Linked DNA regions of Neodiprion lecontei. The protein of the gene in region 2 binds, or shares a complex with, the protein of the main gene of each other region. Links are inferred from orthologs where the notes say so. Each region holds a gene or a part of one and is shown on either strand. Other genes may lie near its edges.

Region 1 (6,595 bases), on a different chromosome or scaffold from region 2:
CTTTATGATGGAGTTGTATCTCTAGGGCACGCAGCAAAGCAGATAGGTGTAATAGGTTCCGGTATTAGATTTATTAAAAATAGTCTCGAGGGAGCAAGGAAACAAAATCTTCAATTATCGGATACAGAGAAGATGAAGTACAGCGGTCAGCTGCAAAAAAGTCAACAGTCTTTACTGACACTTGAAAAAGAGTTAATATATATGAAAACTCTTGCTAAAAAGGTAAGCAAAAGATGTTGTAAAACGATTCAAATCAATATCAAATCTGTAACACCCTGTTGATTTTTCGTAGATTAGCAAAGACACAAAATTAATTCCTCCCGCTGATTATATTGGACCAAAAAAAAAGAAATCCGACTGGACCATAATCATTGGTGTCACTTTGATCATAGGAATGTATCTCTCAAGGACCAACTATATCCAAAGAATATGGAATTAATACATATATGTTGATAGTTGATGACTGTGTGATAATAATGTTAAGGAACTTCGCATTGAACAATCTACTTTTACGTCAACTTTTAAATATTATTTTTTACCTGTAACTAAGATGATTTATACTGGATTAATTACTGTTAAATAATTCTAATTTTTGTAAGTGCCATGACACCCGTTAATATCTATAAAATAATCCTAATTAAGTTTGATGGTGCAATGTGCACCGTCATCTTTCAAGACTGATTTGAATTGGTGTAGATCATGAGTTCTTCATTGTACTTTTGCCTTGCAACTTTCAGAAAATATCTCCAAAGCAGGTAAATCCAATATTTTTGGTCTGCCAAACATTTTTTATTAATTGACATTGCAAAAAACACAAACCAAATATTCTTACGAAATAAAACTTTGTAAACTTACTACCTAGTTAAGACTAGCTAACTTGGCCATGAGGGGAAAAAGCGGATGGAATGTTGGCTGATTTCTTTGGCGAACAGCCAACTGGTATCGTTGTAGAGGGCCACTGCTCAATGCCAATCTCTCTCTCTCTCCAGGATTAGCATCCAGCCACTGAGACAGTCGACTCACAGACCAACCTGCACTCTATAAATATCGAGAATAGATTATCTCATTGCTACAATTTCCATAGCTTTGCTTAATCAAGCTTTTGTGACTAGTATAACAAATCCTTTTAGGTTTCACAAAAATAATGGGAAGAATTTATTTTTTCAATACCTGATGAGGAGATGGCAAATCACTCGGAGCACCAGAAAATAGATGTAAGAGGACAAGGGAAGACGGTACGCTCCCTTCACCCTCTAACACTCGTTGAACCATTTCTTCTGGTCTAAGTGGAAGCAGCGCTCTGAGTGCTCGAAGCACTCTATACTGCTGCTGCTCAGCCAAGCCAAGCTGCCCCCCTCGGCACAGCGGCATCACTGCCACTTCCATCTGCAAACAGAATGTTGCCGTTTTTATTTCCTAAAGGCTCCATCGCTGTTCGTCGCTAACTTTATTCCTTTTGATAACGAAGCTAATAATTTGACACAACTTATCTAATAAGTGGATATACCTGATTGAAGTCAGCAATGAGTTTAGCCCTCCCATGTTCACTTAGTGGCCTCAGAAGGCAAGCGTGTCTAACAAACAACTCAATGCATCTCGAAGCTACACTCTTGCAACTGAAATCAAAAATTCATTTTTAATAATCACGATTTAGTAGACAGTTACTGATCAAATGTGTAGGAATCATGCCCACCTACCATTCAGCAACTATTGTTTGATTCTTGTATGGAACTAGGAATGTGTTAACAGATCGGAGTATGAAGCCCTGTAGCTCGCGCATATACAACGAGCTCCCAATTTCTTTTCCTAAGGGACTCCCAGATCTGACAGTGATAAGAGACATCAGAATTAGTTTCAAAATGAGCAAGAAGTATATAAAATACCAAATATTTCAACCGAACAAAACTCTCACTCTCTAAACTCTGGATCATCGTGCATCGTTAGGAGGATACTTTCCACTGCGTCAGTGATAGATGCTAGTAATGGTGCCAGTATTCCTCTCGTCAATGTATCGGTGTGCTCTAGAGCAGACGCTATAACCGATGCTCCACCAACCGGTAAGCTGCCAGCCATATTTGCTATCACACGACCCATTTGGGCAGCAAGATAATGTAGTAAATTGGCAAGAGTGACGTTCAATTGTTGGCCGACATTTGGACTGTCAATTACTTGACTTGCTTCTGCCCCAGTGACCAAGCCTTGTTCGCATTTCAAGCAAAAAAGCCGCACAGCTTTACCAACATTGCGTGCAACAACCATTGACAATCCTTCATCCACCAATGAGACACTCAGTTCACTGCATTAGTTTAATTTGATTAGTTAGATACTTTGTAGTTCCCCTTATTCAACGAACTTTATCAATTCGGCATCAACATGTAATCACCTAGTAACGGTACGAATTAAGCTATCTATTTCGTCCTGGTTTGGTGCTCCATCTCCAGAAAACATCGTATGCACAGGATCTAGTAGTCTAGATACCGAGCGTGACAGGTAAGCATTTTCAAACGGTGACAACACGTCTCTACTAAAAATTTTTAATTTGTATGATGAAATGAGTTGAATGAAGTAAGTTTTTATGAAGTCAAAATATAGGAAAGAGCTTACTTTATAGCGTACACACCAATGGCTTGCGATCTATCTTTGAGACGTTTACTAAGATCCAGATATATTCTAAGAAATTTTGGATACTCCCCTTCTAATGCCTGCTTGATAAATGAAGATCCTGTAAAATAAGTACATCTATACTTACCATCGAAATTTAATCATCATTCTGGCTAAAGGATGATTTTACCTTGAGAACGTTCGATTAGAATCTTAGCCAATAGTCCTGTAACATTGAGCCAGAACTTCTCCGATAGATCGTCAAATCCCTTTGAGTGATTTTCCAATAATGTTCTTTGAAGTAACTCAATCTGCCCAAGAAATGTTATGAGTTTCAAATAATGTACAGAAATTATGGAGAAAAGCTGACAGATAGCAGAGTTACTAGAAATCAAACCTGTATGCATTGTGTATAAACTGAATCTTGAAAAAGACGTTCCAAATTAGCCCAAAGTCGTGTGCGCAGATTACCAGATGAGCCAGGTGAAGGTAGGGCTGCTCTTCCAGGCCCACCTCTTTTTCCTATATCTTGATTGGTGGGTACAGATATATCCAGTGCCTCTCTGGCGAGTTTTTCAACCTCAGAAAGGGCTTGAGTAGAAGTAGTTTCTACTGTATTATCAAGTATTCCCAAATTTGAAAATACTTGCACCGCAGTGCTGACCTATATAAGTAAATAATTTCTATACAAACGAATATACCTCTATAAAGTTTTATAGGATAGAATAGTGGCTTAGAATCAATCAGTTTACCTGCGAACGATCATTGGATTGTAAACCTTGAGACAAAGTATGTGTAGCTATCCTCTGAACAGTCGCTCTGTGAACTTTAACAGCTCTCTGGTCTTCAGCAACCACGTCTAACCCACTCAAGTCCGTGTCAACCATCAATTGCTCTGTGAAATAACGATAATTGATGTAGGAAAAATCGGTAGACTTTTATAATATTATTTTATAAAACTAAGGCTACTGTGACCTCATTACAGTACCTAATTCATGCAAGCTGTTGGCTGCCTTCACAAAATCAGGACTAGCTGTGCTACTGCTCATTTGTGATTGTAAGCGTCTTGATAGGTGTTGCATTCTTGTTACTCTCCGTAAGAGGTCAGAAGTTTCGTGAAGCCGCGATAAGACCAGTGTCTGTGTCTCGATTCTATTGAATGGCTCCACTATTTTTCCACGGAGTCGTTCAACTGCTGATAGTAGGCTCTGAATTAAAAGGAAAACAATACATTTAAAAATTCTGTAATCCGGAGTTCGAAGTAAAGAATAATATCTTGCGCGTTGGATACAAATCTATGGATTCAAACGTCACAAATCAGCTCACTTGCACATGTGCTTGCATTGTGGAAAGTACGCCTTCCAACTTCTCGACCCATGTCACTTGGGAAAGAAGATCTTCATGGTTGGCTAATACCTGGTTTTGTAGTTCGGCATCTAGAACTGTTATGGCTGTAAAAAGAAAACACTTGATTGGTAACATTCTCAAACGATTATACTGCCTGTATTATTGTTTGTTATTTATAATTGGATAAATACATGCCTTGAGCCAACTTGTTGAGCTGCTGAGCAACTGATAGCACTTGATTAAAATTCGTCTGCTTAATTTCACCTCCGAGGAATTGCTTGAAGAATTCTGAAACTCCATTTACGTGAGATGCATATTCAAATAATTTAAATGCATATTATTTTAATCTATCCAGGATTGCAGCTACAGGTTGAATTTTATAATTTACCGTCATTTTCAATGGTCTGCCAATTTGACACGTTGCTCATTTTTTAAGGTTATTCACACAATATCTTGCAAATTTCGGTGTTAGCAATTCGATTCACCAAAAGTCAGAAACCGCTCGCCAATTTTTCATGGTCTTCTCTGTCTGCTGAAGAAAAATTATTCTTTCTTGATAAAATATGAAATAGCTTCAGGTTTTAGTTTCACGTCAATCATGAATCCTAAGCTTTGATTAAAGTGCCAAGCTGTCAGACACGACCAGCTTTTGGCAAACTTGTGGGTTTCAAAATTAGAGCCTTCAGAACACTAGATGGAGCTACCTTGAGGTTTTTCTCGTAAGAAATTGTAGTGAAAAATTATCATTATAAAATTGATTGTAAAGATGACTTTTCAAGTTCAGGCTACTTATTTTTGACCCTATTGAGTTACACCTGGCATTGATACGCTGTTTTTCCATACTTCACATCCTGGATCGCGTTGAAATCAGATTTGTAAACTGGAGAAATTTTTTTATTTTGATGCGAAACCACGTGCCGCACTTTCTAATCTCTTCATAGATTATTATTCTGACACTTTTTTATTGTCAACATTTGTTGAATTTAAGATCGTGTGCACATTGCTTGATTCGATTGTAATAGATTAATCTTGAGTAATCTTCTTGTAGAATGGAAAGGGGCTACCAATAAAATAACAATTACACCTCCGTATATTTGTAGGCAAACTTTGAAATTTCAGGTATATATTATTGTAAATTCAATGGATATAAAACATCTCTCCGTTCTTGTACAACGTAGATATATATACGTATATACATTATACATGTATGTATATAAATATTAATATAATCATGTATAAAAATTATAGATATAAAAATGGTTTGACAATTACTCAGGGGTATTGGGCAGAACATTAATTGGTAGTATATGTATAATAATGATTTGTAACTTAAATTTATTTTATATCTCTACCCGCGACCCATAGGGCGTTGATTATACATATACTTCCGGATTTCTTCCAAACTTTAGCGACATCTCAAAATAATATAATGGTATAGGACGAGCCGAATCAATACCACGATTTTTAAGTACAAAAGCAAGCATTACATAAGTACACGTTTCGTTCCGCAGTAGAGTGCAGGATATTTTCTAAATGCAAACAATGAAAGTAGAAGACTATTTGTAGAAAGTGCCTCCCATCTTCATGTGTGAGCGCAATGACTTACGTCTCTGATCTCTAAAATGTCACGTAAATGCGTTCTGAATTCCTGCTACAGAGTGAATTTATAAAATTATGTACCACTGCTACAAAGTCAGCATCCCCAGTACTTATTAGACCGGATAAGGTGCTACGTTTTTGGAAGTTCGATTGACTGGCAGGTAATGATCAACACTGTCTGAACAATGAATGAAGACAAAGCCGTGATTCTATATCAACTTGAGACATCGATACTTCTTAATCTCACACCAACAGTTAAACTCGATAATTAGGCTTTTAGCAGCGCTAAGTACTTGAGATTACTTAGTGCAAAATTCTCAATTCGTAACATAAAAAAAAAACTAGCCGAGAGAGCACAATTTTCCAACTTAATTGGCATAGGCCGATTATGGAAACAAAGTTATTTTGGAACTGATGATGACATAATTTCATCACTACATTATAATAATGAAATCGAAATGATGAAAAGTAAAGTAATAAACGTCAAAGACAAATTAGTACATATTGAAATTAAGGAACACAAAATAAAATATTCAACATATTTGACAGGATTCTATGCAGTCGTAATTAACAATAGAAAGATTTTTGGCTTTGAAAACGACTTAGGAAAATACAGAACTAAATCAAAGCAATAAATAAATTTCAGAAGAAAATCTTTTTAACCCAATCACTTCCTGTAAGCTGAACAAAATATAGACTGGTCAGCATCAAACAGCAGCGGTATCTTCTGTATTTCTAAGCAAAGCCGCAGCTTTTACAACATCGCCGCCACACTGACCCAACATAACTTTGCAATCTTCGAGCCTGACAAAGTTGTTCTCCTTTCTGAGTAACCCTTGGAGTCTTTCGAGCTTTATAGCTGCTAGAACATCCCAATCTGACACGTTCAATGCCTCGACGCATGACTCGGGTGTTGATTGTTCGTGTAACACTTTCATCATTATTCTGACCTCATCCGATTGCTCTCCGTTGCGAGGTCCCCGTGTTCGGCGAACGTTTGGACCGTCGCACGCAAATTCCAACAAATCTTCGCACGATACGTGATCAG
Region 2 (7,824 bases):
TTTCTGGCTAAAGCCTAAGCTTCTCTCAGCTGCCAAGGCAACAGGTATAACGCGTGGTAAGCGTTCTAATAATTCGAATGCCAGTTATATCTGCAACCACAAGTTTATCCAGCTGAGCAGATATTCCGAGTAGTGTGTAATACGCGTTATAAAATTAATCCCTGAGATTACACGAGCTCTATTCGAACCGCGCAATCTAATAACCTGGCGAATATCTAATTTCTGGTAGACGAGGAAAGGGATTTGGCGAAAGGTAAAAATAGAAAGGAAGCTTCGAGTAAATGTGAGAATAAAATTCAACAACCAGACAGATTTATTCGAGATTATTTTTTCGACAATATCTGGACGATGCGTATATTTACAAATTTTATTAACACAAGCTGACCAGCCACTGTACAATACAGCTCGATATTTGCATTGAATTTTTCTATCCGGTACCGAACCAATCGGAACCCATGGCTCCGAAGAAGGCGGCAGCGCCTGACTTGATACTGGCTCCGGCAGAATCGGTCCTTGCGTGAGTCTTGGTCGGCGTTTTCTTCCGCTAAAATAATGAATTTTTACATTAGGTACACAGAGAACTTGAACCAGACCTGGATAGTCGGCAGATGGTCGGGATTTCAAACGTTAATTATACAAAGCACACACAGTGATTATAATAAACGGTTCAAAGTCGTTGGGAATTAAAAATTCAAATAGCAAAAGCGTGCGGTCGTGTTATGTACTCGCAGAGAGATTATTATCGCTCGGCGGTGACGGTTAATAAGGCGTGTACATACAGGTATGTATGTACATACACACAGCACATTGTCCATAATTGTAATTAATCCACTGTAATCGATTGGGACAATTAACCGGATTGCTAATAAGAATTGTTACTTTTATTGTTGTCGTTGGCGTTATTGTTATTGTTACGTTTGCAGAGAAACGTTTCTGTCTTCCGTTAGTCAGGGCCAAACAAACTGTAGAGGAGGCACCGACTCCCGTTGTAATTGGTTAACTAACACCAGACAACCGTGGGCGAGCATTAAATTCCCAGTTTCACGAGCTGGTCTACCTTGTCCATGCAGCGCCCTTCCCTCTGTTCATCACCCTATAAACGCCGCTGTTAAGCCAAATTTACGAAGGCAACGGGACTCGTAATGCGGTACTCTATAAACGCGAAATTATCTGTTTAGCTCGAGTTCCGGTTCGGTGTACTTGGCCTCACGCATAAACTAGCGTCGTAATTTGACCGACTAAAATTCACTCCGTTCTCCTAATTTTCCATTTCAGGCAAACTACGTCCGGAAAGAGCGGACTTGTTTCGTCACGTTTTTTCATGCCTACCATCGACTTGTCCTGCAGCGAGGCTATCGGGACTATTGGCACCGTTCTCGCCGGCGCTGTCACTGTCAGAGGAGGAAACCACGGAGCTCCGGAACAAACGGCCAGGACTCCTGGAGCTTCTGTTGCACCTTTTGCGCCGTCACCAGCTACAGGGTTCATCCGGGCTCCGAGAACGGAGAGCAGCTGCTCCGAGTGAGGCACCAGGTTTCCGAATATCAACTGGAAGACCAAGATGCTCAATGGTGATTTCGTACCAGATTTTTAACTCAACGCTAATTGCGTTTGTACCGAATCTGTTCATCGCGCGTGTAAAGGCTTTGCAAATTTTCCATTGTGTCTATGTACCCGGTTCACGGGGCAATGGAGATATATAATTCAGGTTCATGCCTTGGGATCCAGATAGGAGTGCCGGTTTCCCTTTCAAACTTATCCATCCGAGATGGTTGATTAATTAATTATGAGCTTTGAATGCGTCTGACACGGCGTAAATGATGCAAAAAAAAATATTGGCATTTTTAATTTTTAAAGTAAACAAAAGTCCAAAACGCGAGTAATGTAATTTTCGATGAATTGGATGGAAAAATTTTATCGCAATAAATTACCTGCGTCCTCTGAGCGCTCTTCTTTACGTTCGCGTGTATGAACGGATAAAATACGTCCAAATCGAAGGGATCGATCTTCGACTGAATGTCGTCGCATATTTGAGACGACTTGTCTACAAATTTTTTATTCTCTCGAGGAATCATTAACAGTGTGACGTATTTCGTGTCCAGCAACGTTTGCAGGGCTTGTTTCTGCTTCAAGTCGTCATTCTTCGATAACTCCGCGTAATATTCAAACAATTCCGTCACTACCGTGTCCACTATTTCGTGTAGTATTTTCCTGGAATTAGGCGAGTGTAATGAACCCATATTTTTCTTTCCAAATTCATCCACAAGTCTTGTCGACTCTTTTCAAAATGTTTACGTTATATTCATTTGATCCCGCAAGTCTGTTTCGGACAGATACATTTACCACCCGGCGTCTACAGTAACGCGGGTCCGAAAAAAATCGGAAGCTGACATTGGGACGAAATATCTAACGATCAAAAATCTCTTCAGCATAGCCCGAACTGAATCTTACCCTTCGTATAATCCAATTCTACTATTCATCCGGTGAACCAATTTTTATCAACGTATTCACAAAATTTTCCGTTCAAAAAGTTGAATTTTCAATATGAAAGTTGATGGAGTACGAATTACGCTTACGTAAATATTCTTTGATATTATACTGTGGTTTTTCGTACAATATTTACGTTATTAAATACCTCTGCGGTATAAAACCAGCTCATTTCAAATTTCATCAAAATTTGAGATTATCCGCAGATCGTATTACGCTGATAAAATTGAATACCTAATATCCTTATTATACATTGATTAGTAGAAAGTCAGTTGATCGAAATAGTCAAGCTCTTATTAAAAATTGAACCGATATTTCATACGAAGTTAAAAAATTTTCAATCACAATGCAACCAAAATTAATAGAGATAAGAAATAGCTTGCAAGCGTGCAAAAGTACTCACTTTGGCAACGTGTGAGGAATTATCGAATTCAAGTCTTTGCTAACAGCGGCCAGGAACTTCTGCACGGATATGGAAGGTTGGTAGGGTACCAAAATTTCAGACTTCATTCTTTTCCCTTCCTCGGCCTCCTCCTCGATCGTGACTTTCTCCCAGTCGCAAATCATTGTTTGCATTTTCAAAACGTTGAGAGACCTTGGCATAATTCCTTCCTTGTGATCGTGAATTTTCCGTTTGAAAATCTTGGCCCAAACTGTCCAAGCGGCGAGGCTGTCATCCCTCAAAGTATCGCAAATCGACTGCCACTTCGTGTTCGGTATAACGATACCCGAGACTTTCGAAAGGGTGAAACACTTGTTCAAGCTCGGGCAGAGTATAGTCAGTGCTTGGAAAAACCTCGCAGTCAGAATCGCGTTCACCTCCCGCTTTCCCACCTTCGCATCTTCGACGAGGCATTCATCCCTGATAAACTGTGACAATTCGTGTACCTTCTGCGTGCTTATTACTTGGAGTTGTTCCTGCACGATTTCGCGGTCTACGAACTTATTCAGAGTGCTCGAGATTTTAACAGCCAGGAGATCGGTCGTCGTCGTTGTCGACTTTTGACTTTGGTAAAGATAAAGGTGAAGATCCTGCAGCAGGTTGAGCAAATTTCTGTCAAAACTCTCGCAAAGTTTAGCCAAATTCGGAGAAAAGCCCCGCGTCTTCATCAGCAAAAGCCGATCGTTGTCGGCCCCGTTCCTGTTCAATTTTTGCGGTATGTCTGATGGGGAATCTTTCCAAATGTACCACCTCAGATCGTGCTCGGGATACTCGCATTTATCGTGGGCCACCTTGTTCAGGGTGTCGAAGAGGTCGGTCTTCAAATTGAACAGAGTTTCGTCCCACTTGATGCTCACGATTCCCTTTACACGCTCGGTCAGCAACAGCTGAAAGTAATCCCCCCAGAAATTTACCGTCTTTTCCAAAGATAATTTCTTGCACATGATTTCCCAATTCTGAGGAACTTCCAGGGCGAGAACCTCTTCTCTGATATTGTGTATCCCTTTGACCGACGTCACTAGATCAAGCAGTTTTGAGACCTCACGTTTTACAAAACCCTCCACCCAGCTGAGCCAGTTTGTCAAATTATTTTTTAACTCCGCTTCCGGAATTGGTTCAATCTCGCCCCGAGTTGACGGTTTGTGGCTCTTTGCGAATGGTGACAAGAATTTATCTGTCAAATCCCTGTCTACCTTTAGCAGGGACAAAGTTGTTGGCGCGTTTGAACCAGCTACTTCCTCTACACATTGCAACACAAGGCCCTGTTCCTTGCCGTTCGTCTCTGAAATCACATGGTCAAGATTCGGAGAAATCGTGATTCCTCAGCATGAATATTTATGAATGAATAGTATGGGTAGAGATTGTGGGAATGAGGTTTCAGAGGAAACATGACAAAAAAAAAAAAGGTTTTTTTATATAGTACGTAGACATTCTTAGAAAGATACAACAACTGATGTTACCGAACTTGAAGAATGACGAAAAATACGTCAATTCCACAATCAGGTAATTTTTCTTACCCACAAAACAGGAATAAAGCAGATCGATCACGTGTGTCAGCATCTTAACGCTCAAGCTAATTCGATTCCTCACGCTAAGATGGCTCTCGTCTTTTATTACGGCCTCGACGGCTTGGCTTCGAAGAGTAATCAATTTCTTCAACAACTCTGTAGATGCCATGCCATCCAAAAGAACCAGTGAAGCTAAACAATTGGCTGCTGACTGTAAATCGACAGATAAGATCCATATATTTTTATTCTTCATACTCGAATTTACTTTATACGTAATAATAATATATCAAATTGTCGCGTACCTCAACTGGGAGTTCAAGCGACTGCAGAACCTTATTACACCCAGTTAAAATTACATTTCTAAAGTGGCTTATGACGCCCCACTGTTTGAGAATTATCGGATACTTGGTAGCCAGGTCCGAATTGCCAACTTCAATCCTTAGACTGTAATTGATGTGCTGAGCGAACAAAAACAGTTGTGTGGCCAGTAGAAAGTTCTCCGTATCTACCGCCGACCATATTTGCTCCGGTATGTCCATCAGAATTTTGATTTGCATTACTATCGAGTCGTAAGCTTCATTTGACTTATTGCTACAAACGTTTATTAACTCACAAATGTATTTGGCATTTGATTTATAATGAGGGTACAAGAATTCGGATATTGGTGTCAACCTAAGTATCCAAGAATGATTTTGCGCTATTGTTACCTTTCCAACATCTGTTCCGGTGGATCCATTTTAAACCCGATGAGGTATTTCTGTTGCAACTTATGACAAGTCTCCTCCATGTTGCAGATCCTTGCTATAACGCACTCGGAAGTCTGCTTCATCTCTGCTATCGTATCCGCAGCTTCTATCAAATCTCGATATCGTTCTCTGTCAAAAAAATACTGGTATTTTGTTCTCAATTTGTTTTTGAAAATGGATAAGTCTATTACCTAAATATTCACTGGCAGGACAAATCATTTTTGTCATAATGAATCGTTAAGTCATCAAAATGAGAATATTAAAAAGAAAAACAAACTGTCAGGAATAAGCTGATGGTATTTTTTATTCGTGGGGAAAATCGGTAAAATTTTATTTGCATATTTATATACAAAAATCAGCTTAAAACTACTACGATTACAAATTGACACTACGCTTCTTAACCTAAAAAATCTCACCCAACAAGCGTACGAAGCTCGACTTTCTTTCGTTCGCTTTCATTTTGAATTTTTTTCTGTATCTGTTCGACTTCCTTAATCGTATGACCCTCGAAAACTTTTTTTATATCCAGCTCCAAAAGATTAACAACTGGCATTTTAAATTTTAAATACCGAACCCTAATTTTTGATTTTGACACATCAACACAATCCCAGCTGATATCCGAAACCATAAGACATGCGTTCCAGAGACCAACGCACCTCGAATTGTTCCTGCACCAACTAACTGACATTAGGCATCCGTGCCTTCATAGCTTTGATCTCTGTTGTCGGTTTGTCAGTCAATTGTGTCGGTACTAGAGATCGCGTCCTGATCTGCTACACCGGGAGATACGGATAATGATCGCTTCGAAATAATACCACACATTGGAAATTCACGTCAACATCTCTCGGCTGGCTCAACCTCATCTTCATGCAAAATGAATCATCGCTAATAAAGTTTGAAATCTGCGGCGCCGTGAGGCATTATCTTAGTCAAAATGTAGCGCCAATAGCGCTTAGCGGGAGTCTGCCGAACCTTCGATACAACGAAGATTTACGCTGCGAGTCATGCATCTACGTTTTCTTCATTCTTCAGTGCGGCGCGTATTGTAGACACAAATATCTCAATGCTAGTGTGGCGTTCGGTCTGCAGTTGGAGCCAGTCGCCGTTTGTGGTTGTGTTCTGTGTTCAGTGTCAAGCCAACATGGCGGCCGCGTTGACCGTCGAGCAGGAACAAGTAAGTGAAATGCGAATTGTTATTTGTGGAACGAGAATCCATCGCCGAGCGATATTTCATTGAGAGCTATGAGACTTCTCGCCCCTTCCCCGCTTCCACACGTATTTTCAAACTGCTATTCAACGTGTATAAATAACACCGCGAGTACCGAATGTAAACATTTCAACACCTCTTCCGCACGTCCGCGAGTTCCGTCAGGTTTGCTTGACAGCGGGGACTAATTTTTATTCATTTTTTTTTTGTCGTGCGGTGTATAAATAGCCCCCGTGAAAAGTGGTGAAATCCGCAATTCCAATAGACTCGTTGCGTGTCTCTCTCTCGAGTTATTTATTATTTGTTTACGTTTACAAATTAAAATCCGTGCTCGAAACTTCCGGGTGCATCTCAAATTGTGTATTAGGTACGGTAAATTCAGAGACGAAGAGACGGTTTTCTGTACCCGATCGTCGGTCCGGATCTTTGCATTATTATACACTTGCGTATCTTGTTTTTATTTATATGCCCGTCTGCACGTCGCAACGTAAACGTTACATTCATTTGCCACGTGTAAACACACTCTACATATATAAGTCTATAATATTCTCATCTCCGTTTCTCACAATTCATATACTTAATAAATATTACGTACTCGAAGGGAAACGGATGAAAAAAAATTTTTTCAAACCGCGGAATACGTACGCCTTACTTTCAACCAGGCACGCCTCGAATCTTTAACGGATAAAAAAAAGCACAGGATCGAGCCAAAATCTAGAGCGTTTCAACGACGTAACTGCATTCCATTATACAAACTCCGGCTGTTTCATCTGATATCAGACGAGATCTCGATCAACCTTCAACTACTTTTCAAAGCATTAAATTCCACCGCACATTCCAGTTTTATTAGGGCATTCGAAATCCTTGATTGTGTCACGATTTTCGCTGAAGAAGAAGTCTGCAATCGAATCGGGGAAAGAGATAAACAGCAGTTTATTAATTTCTCAATATTCGTTCGATCACAAACTCTACTTTTACTTTCATGGTACCATTTCTGTATGATTTACCCCAGTTTAGAGGACACGCAACTGGTTGCCCCGTTTCAATTTAAACTTTTTCATTTCTATTTTATCAACTGAATACTTTTTTCTTTTTTTTTTTGTCATTAATTCTTATACAAAGTACGTGCATAACGTATACTCTTGAATCAACGCCACGTTTCATCCGGATATACTCTTGGCTTGACGTATTACTCACATCCGTATGAACGTGTTCGTGTAAAGGGTATAACCGTATTTAACACACACGCCTATTTGCACGTTTTTTAATTTACGGACGCAGTGTCAGGCGAATTTCTCGAAGCATTAATACTACGTCTACATCAGTCGTCGAATTCCGTTTTCGTTTTTTTCCATTATTTTTCGTTAACTTCGCGTGAGTATGGAGAAGTAAAATGAAATCTCATACTTTTCGTAAACATTACACGGATTAGAA

What was found. Proteins that work in one complex are often made in the same cells at the same time.
Region 1: conserved oligomeric Golgi complex subunit 1 (region 2) and conserved oligomeric Golgi complex subunit 5 share a complex: the UniProt entries of both Drosophila melanogaster proteins name them as parts of the conserved oligomeric Golgi complex. The link is inferred for Neodiprion lecontei from reciprocal best matches to the Drosophila melanogaster genes Cog1 and fws.

Annotation. Positions count from the first base shown.
Region 1 is NC_060263.1:35,787,768-35,794,362, forward strand, and holds conserved oligomeric Golgi complex subunit 5, read right to left. Parts: upstream 4,613-6,595; 5' UTR 4,377-4,612; coding exon 4,337-4,376; intron 4,237-4,336; coding exon 4,144-4,236; intron 4,053-4,143; coding exon 3,928-4,052; intron 3,810-3,927; coding exon 3,590-3,809; intron 3,497-3,589; coding exon 3,354-3,496; intron 3,266-3,353; coding exon 2,999-3,265; intron 2,913-2,998; coding exon 2,792-2,912; intron 2,723-2,791; coding exon 2,605-2,722; intron 2,525-2,604; coding exon 2,384-2,524; intron 2,297-2,383; coding exon 1,913-2,296; intron 1,824-1,912; coding exon 1,698-1,823; intron 1,617-1,697; coding exon 1,508-1,616; intron 1,387-1,507; coding exon 1,171-1,386; intron 1,039-1,170; coding exon 859-1,038; 3' UTR 520-858; downstream 1-519. Other genes in the region: ankyrin repeat, SAM and basic leucine zipper domain-containing protein 1, read left to right, coding at 1-222, 293-439. UniProt on the Drosophila melanogaster protein: Required for normal Golgi function and necessary during spermatogenesis. Required for cleavage furrow ingression during cytokinesis in dividing spermatocytes and for the extensive polarized cell growth that accompanies spermatid elongation.
Region 2 is NC_060265.1:22,252,053-22,259,876, reverse strand, and holds conserved oligomeric Golgi complex subunit 1, read right to left. Parts: upstream 6,022-7,824; 5' UTR 5,872-6,021; coding exon 5,600-5,871; intron 5,327-5,599; exon of another isoform or gene 5,313-5,326; coding exon 5,145-5,312; intron 5,029-5,144; coding exon 4,740-5,028; intron 4,649-4,739; coding exon 4,447-4,648; intron 4,212-4,446; coding exon 2,891-4,211; intron 2,212-2,890; coding exon 1,932-2,211; intron 1,549-1,931; coding exon 1,330-1,548; intron 1,153-1,329; exon of another isoform or gene 1,058-1,152; intron 545-1,057; coding exon 428-544; 3' UTR 296-427; downstream 1-295. Other genes in the region: tyrosine-protein phosphatase non-receptor type 9, read left to right, coding at 6,247-6,357. UniProt on the Drosophila melanogaster protein: Required for normal Golgi function.